Linked DNA regions of Sus scrofa. The protein of the gene in region 2 interacts with the protein of the main gene of each other region in a pairwise test. Links are inferred from orthologs where the notes say so. Each region holds a gene or a part of one and is shown on either strand. Other genes may lie near its edges. The genes, in order: PDCD10, C8H4orf19 and EIF3E.

The links.
Region 1: the proteins of C8H4orf19 (region 2) and PDCD10 interact in binary tests that used the Homo sapiens proteins (3 or more experiments, as listed by UniProt). The two-hybrid records come from large-scale screens. The link is inferred for Sus scrofa from reciprocal best matches to the Homo sapiens genes PGCKA1 and PDCD10.
Region 3: the proteins of C8H4orf19 (region 2) and EIF3E interact in binary tests that used the Homo sapiens proteins (3 or more experiments, as listed by UniProt). The two-hybrid records come from large-scale screens. The link is inferred for Sus scrofa from reciprocal best matches to the Homo sapiens genes PGCKA1 and EIF3E.

The regions. Positions count from the first base shown.
Region 1 is NC_010455.5:106,556,060-106,560,373, reverse strand, and holds the start of PDCD10 (programmed cell death protein 10), read left to right. Parts: upstream 1-1,423; 5' UTR 1,424-1,563; exon of another isoform or gene 1,564-1,568; intron 1,569-2,159; exon of another isoform or gene 2,160-2,353; intron 2,354-2,617; exon of another isoform or gene 2,618-2,790; intron 2,791-4,314. UniProt on the Homo sapiens protein: Promotes cell proliferation. Modulates apoptotic pathways. Increases mitogen-activated protein kinase activity and STK26 activity. Important for cell migration, and for normal structure and assembly of the Golgi complex.
Region 2 is NC_010450.4:29,011,599-29,015,775, reverse strand, and holds the start of C8H4orf19 (uncharacterized protein C4orf19 homolog), read right to left. Parts: upstream 2,893-4,177; 5' UTR 2,638-2,892; intron 1-2,637. UniProt on the Homo sapiens protein: Acts as a tumor suppressor. Acts as a tumor suppressor for colorectal cancer cell proliferation by targeting KEAP1/USP17/ELK1/CDK6 axis.
Region 3 is NC_010446.5:29,340,741-29,344,104, forward strand, and holds the end of EIF3E (eukaryotic translation initiation factor 3 subunit E), read left to right. Parts: intron 1-430; coding exon 431-533; intron 534-823; coding exon 824-958; intron 959-2,672; coding exon 2,673-2,711; 3' UTR 2,712-2,853; downstream 2,854-3,364. UniProt on the Homo sapiens protein: Component of the eukaryotic translation initiation factor 3 (eIF-3) complex, which is required for several steps in the initiation of protein synthesis.

The DNA.
Region 1 (4,314 bases), on a different chromosome or scaffold from region 2:
ACTTCTGCTAGGTTCCGTCGTCTTGATTATTCCTGACGATATTTGCTTCTTTAACAGAGATCTCTTTCAATTCTAGGAACCTGCAGTATAACCGCCCTGGAAAACAGGTCGGTAGCAGGACAATCTGATAAAACAATGTAAGGGGTAGATAGTGAAGAAGAATGCAAAGTTATTTTCCTAGTGAAAGAGTTCTGAAGTAATTTTATATCAATGACATTTTTTTTTAACCGGCTACGCACCTATCTAAATATCACCCTGTCCTAAATTAGTAGGGTTTCCTCAATCTTAAAATCTTCCAGAACAGTTTTAACGGTACAACTGAAACCAAAAACACTAACCACGCCCTTTATACCCAGAGTCAAACCACCTTTTGCTTTTTATCCTCTCTCCAAGTCCAAACATGTACATCTTTCACCTAAAAGGGTTTGCACCAGTTTCCTAACCCGAGTGAGAGACTCTTAGCTGTGCCTTGATATTATTCCTATTGGGAGACGCTTTCTCCCAGGCAGAGCAGACGCCCAGAAGTGGCACCCACGCTTACCTCCCACACACCTGCAACCCCTGGCGGGATGCTGGAGCTAAGGCTCCGAGGACTGCGCTCCGCTCCTGTTCCTGCTCTCCTCTCTCCCGGGAAACTACAGTCCAGGCTGCGCCTTCGGCTGCTACAGGGACCCAAGCTCCGCCTCTCCCTCCTCTAGTTGGCGAATTCAGCAGCTGTTGCTCCTCCCCCGGCTGTTCCGCCTGCTGCCCGGTTGGAGGCGGCGGGAAGCTGCTGCCCTGGTACCTTCGCGCTCCTAGCACTTCTGCAGCTGTCCTATCGCTTTCCTTCCCCGGGGACCCTTCTCCCTTCACTCAGTGGCTTGACACCTGGCACAGGGCTTCCCGCCCCGTCCCGACACCTACGCGAGGAGCCCGGGCTCGACCTATCCCTGACTGACCAGCAGGTCTGGCCGCCCGGTGTGCCTGGTTCTTGGCCGCTTTGGGGGAAACTGCTCCTCTAGCTAGGGCGCATCCTCACACCGCGTCCTCGCTCCACCAGGGCGATTTCTCCCCCCCCCCCCCCGGCTTCCTCTCAGGTTCCACAGCTCAGGCGCCCCATATTCCCCATTCGGAGCTCTTCCCCCGCCCCCATTCCTTCCTGGGCTCCGCTAGCCCGCCCCCACAATGGGTGAGTTGACTGCGGGGCCGACCCTGCATCCTGATTGGCGCAGGTGAGACCTGACCCCTCCCTTCCTCTTCTTTCATTTCACCCTCTCTCTTCTTCTCACCTCCTCCAGCAAAGGCAGGGAACTCTATTACTATTGGTTGAAACTGTCTCCACCCATCACCTTAGGCTCTACCGCAGGGCCTGACGGGAGTTGTAGTCTCTTATGTGCAGGAACTGCCGACGAAGCCCGCGAGTGGGACTACGAGTCCCCACAAACCCCTGCGCGACTCCGGCTGGGCAGGATTCCGGACAACGCCTGGTTCCTCTCGGGTCCTTCCGGCGTCGCCGGAGTGAATTGATCCGGGAGTTGAAGAGGGCTCCAAAGGTGGGAAGTGAAGTCAGTCCCTCAGTTGCCGGTAAGGTGAGGCTGTTCTGTCCCAGTCCCCATAGCGCCGCGCGGAGCAGAAGAGGTCTAGGGTCACACGGGAGCCGTGGCTGAGGCCCTTGGGCTTGGTTCTGGCAGGCGGAGCGGACGGGGCTGGGAACCGGGCCCTATGGGCGTAAGCGAGGTTACCCTACGCGAGTGGCGTAAAGCGGGTTTGTAAATGCCGCCTGCCCTGCTCGGGCCCGAGCGCCTCCAGGAAGTCTTCTCTAGGTGGGGGCGGGAGGGGAAGGGCGAAGTTGGCCTCTGGTGCCCCCGGAGAAGGGAGAAGGCGGATGTGCCTGGGGTGGGGTCCTCTGAAGATGTGGCTTGGGGTGAGGAGGTAAGGGTTTTCCCCCTGCTTTAGAAGTAGGATAGAGAAAAGAGCAGAGAAAGGAAGGGGCGATTGGAGTCTGCTTTTGAGGTGACTCGGGTTGTGTCCTTCGAGGGAAGAGGAGAACTGTAGAAGGAAGAGTCAGATGTTGACAGAGATCTACTGATTCAGTTCCAGTTTCATGATGTCCCTCTAAGGAGGTAATTTTGCCCCATGTAGTAAAGATTAACACTATTACACCTTTACTGTTTTCAAAGGCCATTCACAGTGCTAATGAGGAAACTGAGGGGATAAATGACGTGCCCAAGGACGCACAAGTAGGGACTGATCTTCTGAATCTAATCCAGTTGTAATCCAGCTTCTGAATCAGAGCCACCGCACCAGACTGAAAGTGTAGGAAGGTTTTGTTTTTTGAAGAGGGTGGAGGAAGTTGCAAAGTAATGCATTTTAGGTATGTCTAAGAACCTCTCTGTGAGGTGAAGAAGGTGTTTTTTTGTTTTTGTTTTTGTTTTTTTGAGCTGGGAAGAAATTTCTCAATAAAAAAAAGCATGCACTCTGACCTTTAGGAAAAATAAGGAGAATCAGTTTCAATTTACCTAGTTTGCTTGTTTTTTGTGGTTTTTTTTAGGGGTTTATTAAGTGACTCTGCTACCATTTTAAAGGATAGATAAATGGGATGGGGAAAGTCAGATAACAGTATGTCTCATCCTTACAGGTGAAAGACACCCCTTTCCCTTCCTACCATAGGACCGTTTTTACTGTTTTCGCTGTCAACTGAGAGCAATGGGATTGGAATTCTTTCATGAAACTTATTTTACATTTTTACAGCACTGAGAAAGATTTTAGTGAGCTTATTACTAGGAAAGAAGATACATTGCTTTTTTGGAGGTAACATCACATTTTGTTGTGTTGATTTTGATTTCCCCCTCATTTTCTTGACTAGTGTGTGTTTGTGTGTGTTTATAATAACACCAGGCTCTTGTGTATTTTAATTTTCTTAGCATCATCTATAACTTTTAACTCATTCTTATTTTACGTTGGAGAATGGAAAAATAGGACATTTGTGTTTTATTTTGAACAGAAAGCAGTGTGCTTGTTCCAGTCTATCCTTTATAACTGTTAGGACCAGTTACAGTTATAGTTCCTAAATATTAATATTATACAGTTCTTTAATAGAATTTCAGGATTATGTTCATTGGCATCATGATTTCTTCATGATAAGTTTCTGTCTAAGAATCAGGTATCTACTGATGGCAGATAATCAATCATGGTTTACTGTTGTATAACTGATGATTGAAATATGTTGTATTTTAAATATACTCTGCATTTATTTAACTTGTACACAATGTGTTTAACTTTTGAATCCAAAGACACTTTCTAGGATCAGAAGTACTAATACATTCCCCTAGGATTGAAGTGAAGATGGTCTGGAAATTAATATGACTTAAAATTAGAAGAGAGGTGTGATACTATAGAATGAAGTAAAATCAGGAATAATTAGCACCACGAGTAAGTAATGCAGTACACAAGGAAGGAAGACCAACTAAACAAATGGAAAATTATGTGGGGATAACTGGCTCAGTGCTGTGTTAGAAGGGTGCGGTAGTTTAAGTAGACCATAAACTGAATATGAGTCAGTGATAGTAAAACAAGAATGTTAATCTATTCTCTATATGGCAGTGTAGGCATTTGTTTTTTGTTGGAGGAAGTGAGAAATGAGTTCTTCTGACTTTTGGCATAGAGCTGGGAGCTTGTGGAATGAGCTTTTGAACCAAAAGTCAGGAAAATTTGGAAATCAGTAATATAGGGCAGTTTGTCTAGTATGTGTTAGTTTTTGTCCTTGGTTAATTCTACCACTAACTTCTCTTCATCTCTGAGGTCCCGTGTGTAGTTTTGCTCTTTCACCTATGGTGAATGGTGGAATAATGTTTCTGTTGTATTTGTCATCTTTCAGTTCACATGCTGGAATACAGTGGTCATTTTGGATCTCAGTGCATTGAATAATTTAGGGTTCACAAAATGATGTGTACCTTTGTATTTTTATAGTAATTTGCAGTTCACCAATGTCCACATGTGTTCCTATTTTGAGTTGTAGGAGCCCTGTGTCAGCTTTTGGATATCATCTAATACAGGGCTTGGGATGTGTACCACATACATCTATCTTTGAAGACATAAGATCTTTAAGAACAGGATGATCATCATTGTATTCCTAGTAGGTCACATAATTGAGTATCTGTTTACACAGAGAATAAAGAGGTTCAGATTGGTTAAGAGGAAGGTGATGTAACTAGTAACTTGGTGGGACCAAGACATAATCCAGATGTTATGACTATAGATCTTTAATATTGTGGAATAAAGACTCAGATTATTTATTTTACATGAGAAAAAGACTTAAAATGATGTAAAATATTT
Region 2 (4,177 bases):
CTGTGGTAATCAGAGACATGGTAGTCCTTTTGCTTTAGGTTAACAGTACTCACTGCAGCTCAGGATAGCATTTTCTAAATGACATTGAGTATTTTGAGTTCTTTTAAATCTCTGCTTGAGGATACACATTCCCCTGATGGGTGTATTATAACCACATTTTAGGATAGGGTCATTTTGATGATATATGGTCCTTTTGAACATTGCAATTGCTATGGGACCATGATATACTAAGGTGACAGGGGTGTGAGTAGACAAAAGATTTCATTTTCATTTCTTTTATTTTTTTTAGGGCCGCACCCATGGCATATGGAGGTTCCCAGGCTAGGGGTTGAATCGGAGTTGCAGCTCCCAGCCTACACCACAGCCACAGCAAGGTGGGATCCGAGCTGCACCTGGGACCTAAACCACAGCTCATGGCAAGGCCTGATCCTTAACCCATTAGGTGAGGTAGGGATCGAACCTGTGTCTTCATGGATACTAGTCAGATTCGTTTCTGCTGAGCCACAATGGGAACTCCCTCATTTTCTTATTATTCTTAGCATTATTTTTAAAAAGCATATAATGAGGTAATCAGTCTGACCAGCAGACAGATGAAGGCTCAGGTCTGCCTTCTCCTAGCATGAGCCTATCAACTCTTTTCTAAATAACCATTAGATTGATTATTGGGTGCAGTAATTCTACCTGCACCCAATAATCAATCTAATGTCCTGAAGAAGAAGAAGAAATAGAAATGCAGGAGCTAGATACTGTCTTACCAAGAGCCAAAGAGAATCAAGATTCTGAGTTATTGAAAAAACTGTGGAACTAGAGGAATTTGAAATGAACAGTTCAGGTGGAGGAAACCCAGCTACTACTGAGAGGTTGGTATTCAATTTCTTGGAAACTGGAGTTCATTCCTGGAAGCACAGTCAATGGGCTCTTTGGGCACCAAGGGCAGGGCAGTTCCTGGAGCAAACAGGGCAGTACTGCTCTGCCCTTGGGCTGACACTAGATTGTGGCCAGCACTTGGCATGGTTGTTTTCAGGCTCAGACTGGGACTAGGTAGGAAGTCAGGGGGATCGTCCCATTTCTAGGTTAATGAACGTATTTAGTTGACATGCAAGTTATTGCTCTGCTTTGAGTTCCAAACATGCAAAACCTCTTAGAACATAGCTAAGATGGGCCACCTTGATCTTCGGATGTCATTATATATCTAAATCTTGAAAACCTTTGAGGGCCAGGCCCTGGGGCCAGATGCCATGAGGTAGGTGCTTATCACATACTTGCTGAATCAAAGAACTGGTTTGGGATGGACACAGAACTAGCAAAAGAGATAAAGACTGAAACCCTACTTCTATCAGTGTCTGCTTCATTTTACCTCTGCGATCAAGGGAGCTTCCTACAACTGACTCTTCACACTTTAGAGAAACACAAACAACTCCAGAACTCAGAGCTGTGTTATTGTTTCAGTGATAGGCTTCACAACTGAACTGTTCTATAGATATGGGTTTAACATCTGGCTCCTTAAAATAGTGTTAACTGGGGGATTAAATGTGGGAATAAGTGGCAAATCCAGAATCTATTGTCTTTAAAAGCAGCAACCCACTTTCCATTTCTTTCTCATTCAACTCTCAGATGTTTCTTAAATAGCTTGTTTACAACTACCCAGGAACATGCATAAGCTAGGGTGAGAAGTGAGAAAATAACCACTCTATTCTTTAATGATTTGAACCACCTCATGGAACACCGACTTCTAAATTCACTGGGCAAACATCTATACTGCAATGGAAAATATAATGTACTAAATTGCTAATAGGAGTTTTTGTTTTGTTTTTAAGGTTAATCACAGTGCTGGAGGAAGAAAAAAAAAAACCCAAACATTGATTTCTGTCTTGTATCACTAGAAAAACTGCTCAGTGGTGGCTTGTGAAAAATCTCACCTCATCCGGACTGCCAAGGTCAATGAGACCCAAGTAATCGACCTGGGAGATGCTTGCCTAATTATCAAACATTCTGCAAACATTTTGTGAACATTTAACCGTTTGCACCTGGACCCCTCCTTCAATCCATGCGGCTTCCTAGGGCTGCACCCTCTCCTCTCCACCACCCAGGGCGCCAACACCCCAAAGGGGCAAATCCTGGGACCCAAGGACATTTCAAAGAAACAGCGGCGGTCACCTTCCATTTCAGTTTTACTTAAAAACACTCAGATGTTTAAAAATAGGGGAAGAGGAGGGCTCAGAAATAAGAGGAAAATCTTTCGCAGTTTTTCCAATTCAAGTTCTCAGGCACCGTTGAAAGTTCATTAATTAGAGATTTAAAGACAGAAGTGTTTCATATACCAATCAGATGCCAAGCTTTGCAAACTGTCTTTGTCTTTAGTTGGGGGAAGTTTGTAAAAGTCCCCCCATCCACCCCATTCTGGAGTTTGCTTCTCTTTCCGCGCCTTTGTTGAACGACCTGACTTTCCCGAAGCAACCAAACCGAGAACTGCCTCACCCGCCCTCTTTTTTTTTCTCCCCCGGCAAAAGGAAATAAATAAAAATGCCCCGCGAGAGAAGTGGGAGAAATCATGCCACAAAGCCAAGTTCCGCGGGAGTCGAGCCCCCGTGTTGCCCGCGGCGGGGCCGGGAGCGCGGGGCGGGAGAAGGTCCCTACCTGGGGCCGGGCAGCAGCGGCGGTGTCGCGGCGCCCATGACTTCGCCGGCTTCGGGCGGCCGCGCGGGGAAACGCCAGCGGCTCAGCAGCGCCTGGACCCGCCGAGCTCGCTGCGGCCGCCCCGGCGCTGTCATTGGACCGATGAGTCACGTGGTCTGGCCGGCGGGCGAGCCCCTCCGGCCGGCGCAACCCCTCACCTGCGCGCCCCGCTTCGCGCAGAGGCCCCGGGAGCGCGACAGCAGACTTCCCGAGCCCGGACTGGGCTGCAGGACGCACCGGAGAAGAAAATCCCGGAGTTCGGCCTCTGATCCCCGATACTCAGGCTGCCAGGCAGCCGGCGCCGCGAAACTTTGGTGCCGGCTTTTCCGCCGTGCTGCTGGGAGAGGGGAGCTTCCTCAGATTCGGCGTGAGTCAGGGAGGTACGTAAATGCACTCCCTGGCGAAGAGACCTCCCCTCGTCCCCCGTGAACTTGGGGTTTGTTTCCTTCCCGGTTCTGGCCATAGCCGCTTACACCTGGTGTGTGCAGTTCGCCTGCTTTTTATGGGATAGATGGGAAAGAGCGCAGACGCTACTGGGGCGAGAATTCCCAGGGAAGTTGCACACACTCATCTGCACCCTCAGGACCGCAGTGGGAGTTCAATGATGTGCTTTCCTGCCCCCACCTTCCCTTTCTGTGCCTGGGGTGTTGGAACTTTGGCTGTCACACTCCGTCCACCGTCCTGAGCTCCACGGCCGTGCTTGCTGCAATCCGTGCATCTAAGCTTGGTTGCTTTACTTTAAAATAGTATTTAAGGGTTGGAAAGTTTATTCACCTGTGCTCCAAAGTGCGTCGGTGTTGGTCTTGACAGGAGAATGTGTTAAGCAACGGCGCCACCTAGCTCGTCGTCTTCTCTCTTTCCCCTTCATTCATTCGGGGAGAGTCAGGATAAAACAGAATGCTGGAGAAGCAACAGACAGAATACTATTTAAAGATGAACACACTGCCCTCAGCTCTTAATGTGTCCACTCTAGTGATTCTAGCGCCATTTACACGACGACATTTCCCACGCTTTATGGGGGGAAACTCATGTTTTGAGATTCTTCCCACTTGTGTAGTAGCAGCATGCTTTAAAAATGATAGATTTATGAGGGACATTAAATGCTCTTTTACATCACTTTCTGATAAAAACTCTTTATCCCAGTAAAGGACCGTCCTAACTTCTAGCCCACGCTTAAGTAATGTCCACAGGATACTGATTACATTTATCGGTTAGATTATTCTAACCAAAAAGACTGGTATTTATCTTGGGTTTTAAAGTATAGTTCCCAGACTAGCAGAATCAGCATTATTTGGAGGAATTTAGCAAAAATGCAGATTCTTGGGCTCCACCCCAGACATTTGGATTCAGAGCTGGTGGAGCCAGGGAGGGTGAAGTAACTTGTATTTAAACAAATGATGTACATTCCAGTTTGAGAACCACCATCCTGAGTCTGCTCAAGCAGCTGGCTAAATTCCACTCATTTGTTAAAGGTTGGGATTCTGTAAAGTCAGAGGTGGTG
Region 3 (3,364 bases), on a different chromosome or scaffold from region 2:
GCTTTTCATTGTATTATAATTGTTACTGATGCTCCCTGTAATTGGTTTAATTTGTATACTCAAATATTTAATATTAAATATTAAACTGATACTCTACATCAGAAGATATTTTTCTTCTTTAGATCATTACTGGTTAAGCACCTGGTAAGTGTAAGATACTTTTCTGGAAGCTAAAAGAATTTCTGTAAATGCAGAATATGGGACACTTCCCTTAAAGATCTTACAATCTGATTGGTGAAATGAGATGGACTGTGAACAGTACAAGATAGTAATAGCACAAACATATGAACAGTAGTTTTAAAAGTCATAATATTTAAGATAAAGTGGCTCTTAAATACCTAAAAGTTTCTATACATAGTATAGGTCAAAGACTATGTATATAAAATAAAGCTTTTAGACTCAGTTAATGTCTTTTTTGTTTTTTAATTAGCATGTTGGCAGATAAACTGAATATGACTCCAGAAGAAGCTGAAAGGTGGATTGTAAATTTGATTAGAAACGCAAGACTGGATGCCAAGATTGATTCGAAATTAGTGAGTATTATGATAGCTTTGCTACATACTAGAGAGATTATTTTATATTTTGGAGGGGGGCTTTCATTAGGAAATCTATTCTTCTCTATTAAGAATTTATTCATGTATAGTAGTTCCTTGAAGGCAACAGCTACCTCCTGTTTTGTGTTATTAGATGAATATTGTCATCTCTCTACAGTTCAGAAAAATATGTGCAGCAGGCAGGTAGTGTTATGGTGTCATACTCATGACTTATGTGGGAAACTCAGTTGTTAACATTACAGGATCAATTTCCCTCTGTCTCATTTTAGGGTCATGTGGTTATGGGTAACAATGCAGTCTCACCCTATCAGCAAGTGATTGAAAAGACCAAAAGCCTTTCATTTAGAAGCCAGATGTTGGCCATGAATATTGAGAAGAAACTGAATCAAAATAGTAGGTCAGAGGTAAGAACCACACCTATTCTGTCTGGGATTTAGCAGTAATGTAACATAATTGTCAAAGGGGCTTCACTTGGAAACAAATTAATATTGGTTGTATCTGATTTTGTATTTGTTTATTGGGGGTATAAACTATTTTGTTTAAGAAATTACTAAACTGAAAAGACAAAAAAAAAAAAAAAAAAAAAAAGAGTTCCCGTCGTGGCGCAGTGGTTAACGAATCCGACTAGGAACCATGAGGTTGCAGGTTCGGTCCCTGCCCTTGCTCAGTGGGTTAAGGATCCTGCGTTGCCCTGAGCTGTGGTGTAGGTTGCAGACGTGGCTTGGATCCCGTGTTGCTGTGGCTCTGGCTTAGGCCAGTGGCTACAGCTCCGATTCAACCCCTAGCCTGGGAACCTCCATATGCTGCGGGAGCAGCCCAAAGAAATAGCAAAAAGACAAAAAAAAAAAAAAAAAAAGAAATTATAAACTGAAAAGAATTTCTCTTAGATATATTATGCATTAATCGAGGAAGGTAAAAAATGTGTTCGTAGTTTATTATATTTTTTTCCTTTACTTGTGTGCCTTCATTAACTCATTTCCTCGGTGTTTTCAGCACATTGTTTTGATACTGGCAAATGGTAATTTACATGTGTTGATCTCTTTCAAGTACTTGAAATTTGTGGTCCTTTTAAATCTAAAGAACTTCTTTGGAAGTGTTGACCTTATTATATCTGTTAACATTGATCTTATAGAATTTGATTTTTATCTGATATTCATATTTAACTGTCAGAAAAATATATCCCCCTTTTTGATAGAAATTTTGCATATTAGATATTAAAGGAATTTGAATGGCCTTGTTAAAAAGACAGAAGAATTAAGAAATTGTCCTTGCCTATTACAACCAAGTCTAGAATGATTGAACCTGAAAAATAACTTTTATACAATGGGTTTTTTTCCTACATGCTTATGGATCAGTCTATATTGATTTTCGTTATGGTATTGATGATACTGTCATTGTTATACTTTATAATTGGTCAAAAACTGTTCCAGGGTTTTTTTAAATTTATTTTATTGAAATATAGTTGATTTACAATCTTGTGTTAGTTTCTGATGTACAACAGAGTAATTCAGTTCTTTATGGATATACATGTGTATGTATGTGTATATGTACATACATACTCTTTTCCATATTCTTTTCCATTATGGTTTGTTACAGTATATTGAATATAGTCCCCTTTGCTATACAATAGGCCCTTATGTTTATTCTATATGTAATAATTTGCATCTGCTAATTCCAAACTCCTAATCTATTCCTCCCCACTCCTCTGCCCTTGGCAACCACAAGTCTGTTCTCTATGTCTGTGAGTCTCTTTTTGTTTCATAGATAAGTTCGTTTGTGTCATATTTTAGATTCCACACATAAGAGATATCATGTGGTATTTGTCTTTCTCTTTCTGACTTACTTGGTATGATAATCTTTAGGTCCACCCATGTTGCTTCACATAGCATTATTTCATTCTTTTTTATGGGTGAATAATATTCTGTTATATACCTAATCAGATGGTATTTTGATGTGTTTGTTTTGCTCTAAGTGAGACACCTCACATTTAGTAATTCCAGGATTTGTTAAAATCTTAAAGAATGTTGTAGAAGTAATGCTGAAAAAATGCTAGTGTCACTTTTTTCTAAGGTAGCTTTTCAGAAAATATTTTTCACTCTGTTTCTCTTTGTATTTTAGGCTCCTAACTGGGCAACTCAGGACTCTGGCTTTTATTGAAGATCTGTAAAGAAAAATGAAAAAAAACTGTAAAAGAAAGATGAAATAATAAAGCCATTATATAAAGGTGAAGCATTTTAGAAACAACATACTGATTATAAATTTTGGAGATTTTGAATAAAATTGGCTGTGTTTCATTTTATTTCCTTGTGTATGTAAGTGTTTGCTTTTTATTTTTAATTTTTTTAATTTTTTTGGTCCTGCATGCAGCAGTTTGATATGGATTAAACCCCAGCCACAGTGGTGAAAGTACAGAATCCTAACCACTAGCCCACTAGGGAACTCCTCAGTGTGTGCTTTTTTTACCTTTTCATTTTGGAATAATTATAGATTCACAGGAAGTTACAAAAATAGTACAGAGAGGTCCTATGCAACCTAAACCTAGTTCGTTTTTAATGTCAAAACTAGGATATTGACATTGGTACAGTGGTGTGAATAGCTCTGTGCCATTTGAGCATTTTTTTGTGTAACCATCACTGCAGTCAAGATATAGAGGTATCATCCTCATAAAGGTCTCCCTTATGCTACTACCCCTTTGGAGTCACATCCACTCCCTCCAGCTCTAACCTCTGGCAACCATCAGTCTGTTTTCTGTCTCAATAATTTTGTCATTATGTAGATGTTAATAGCAATGGAACCATACAACATGTAAC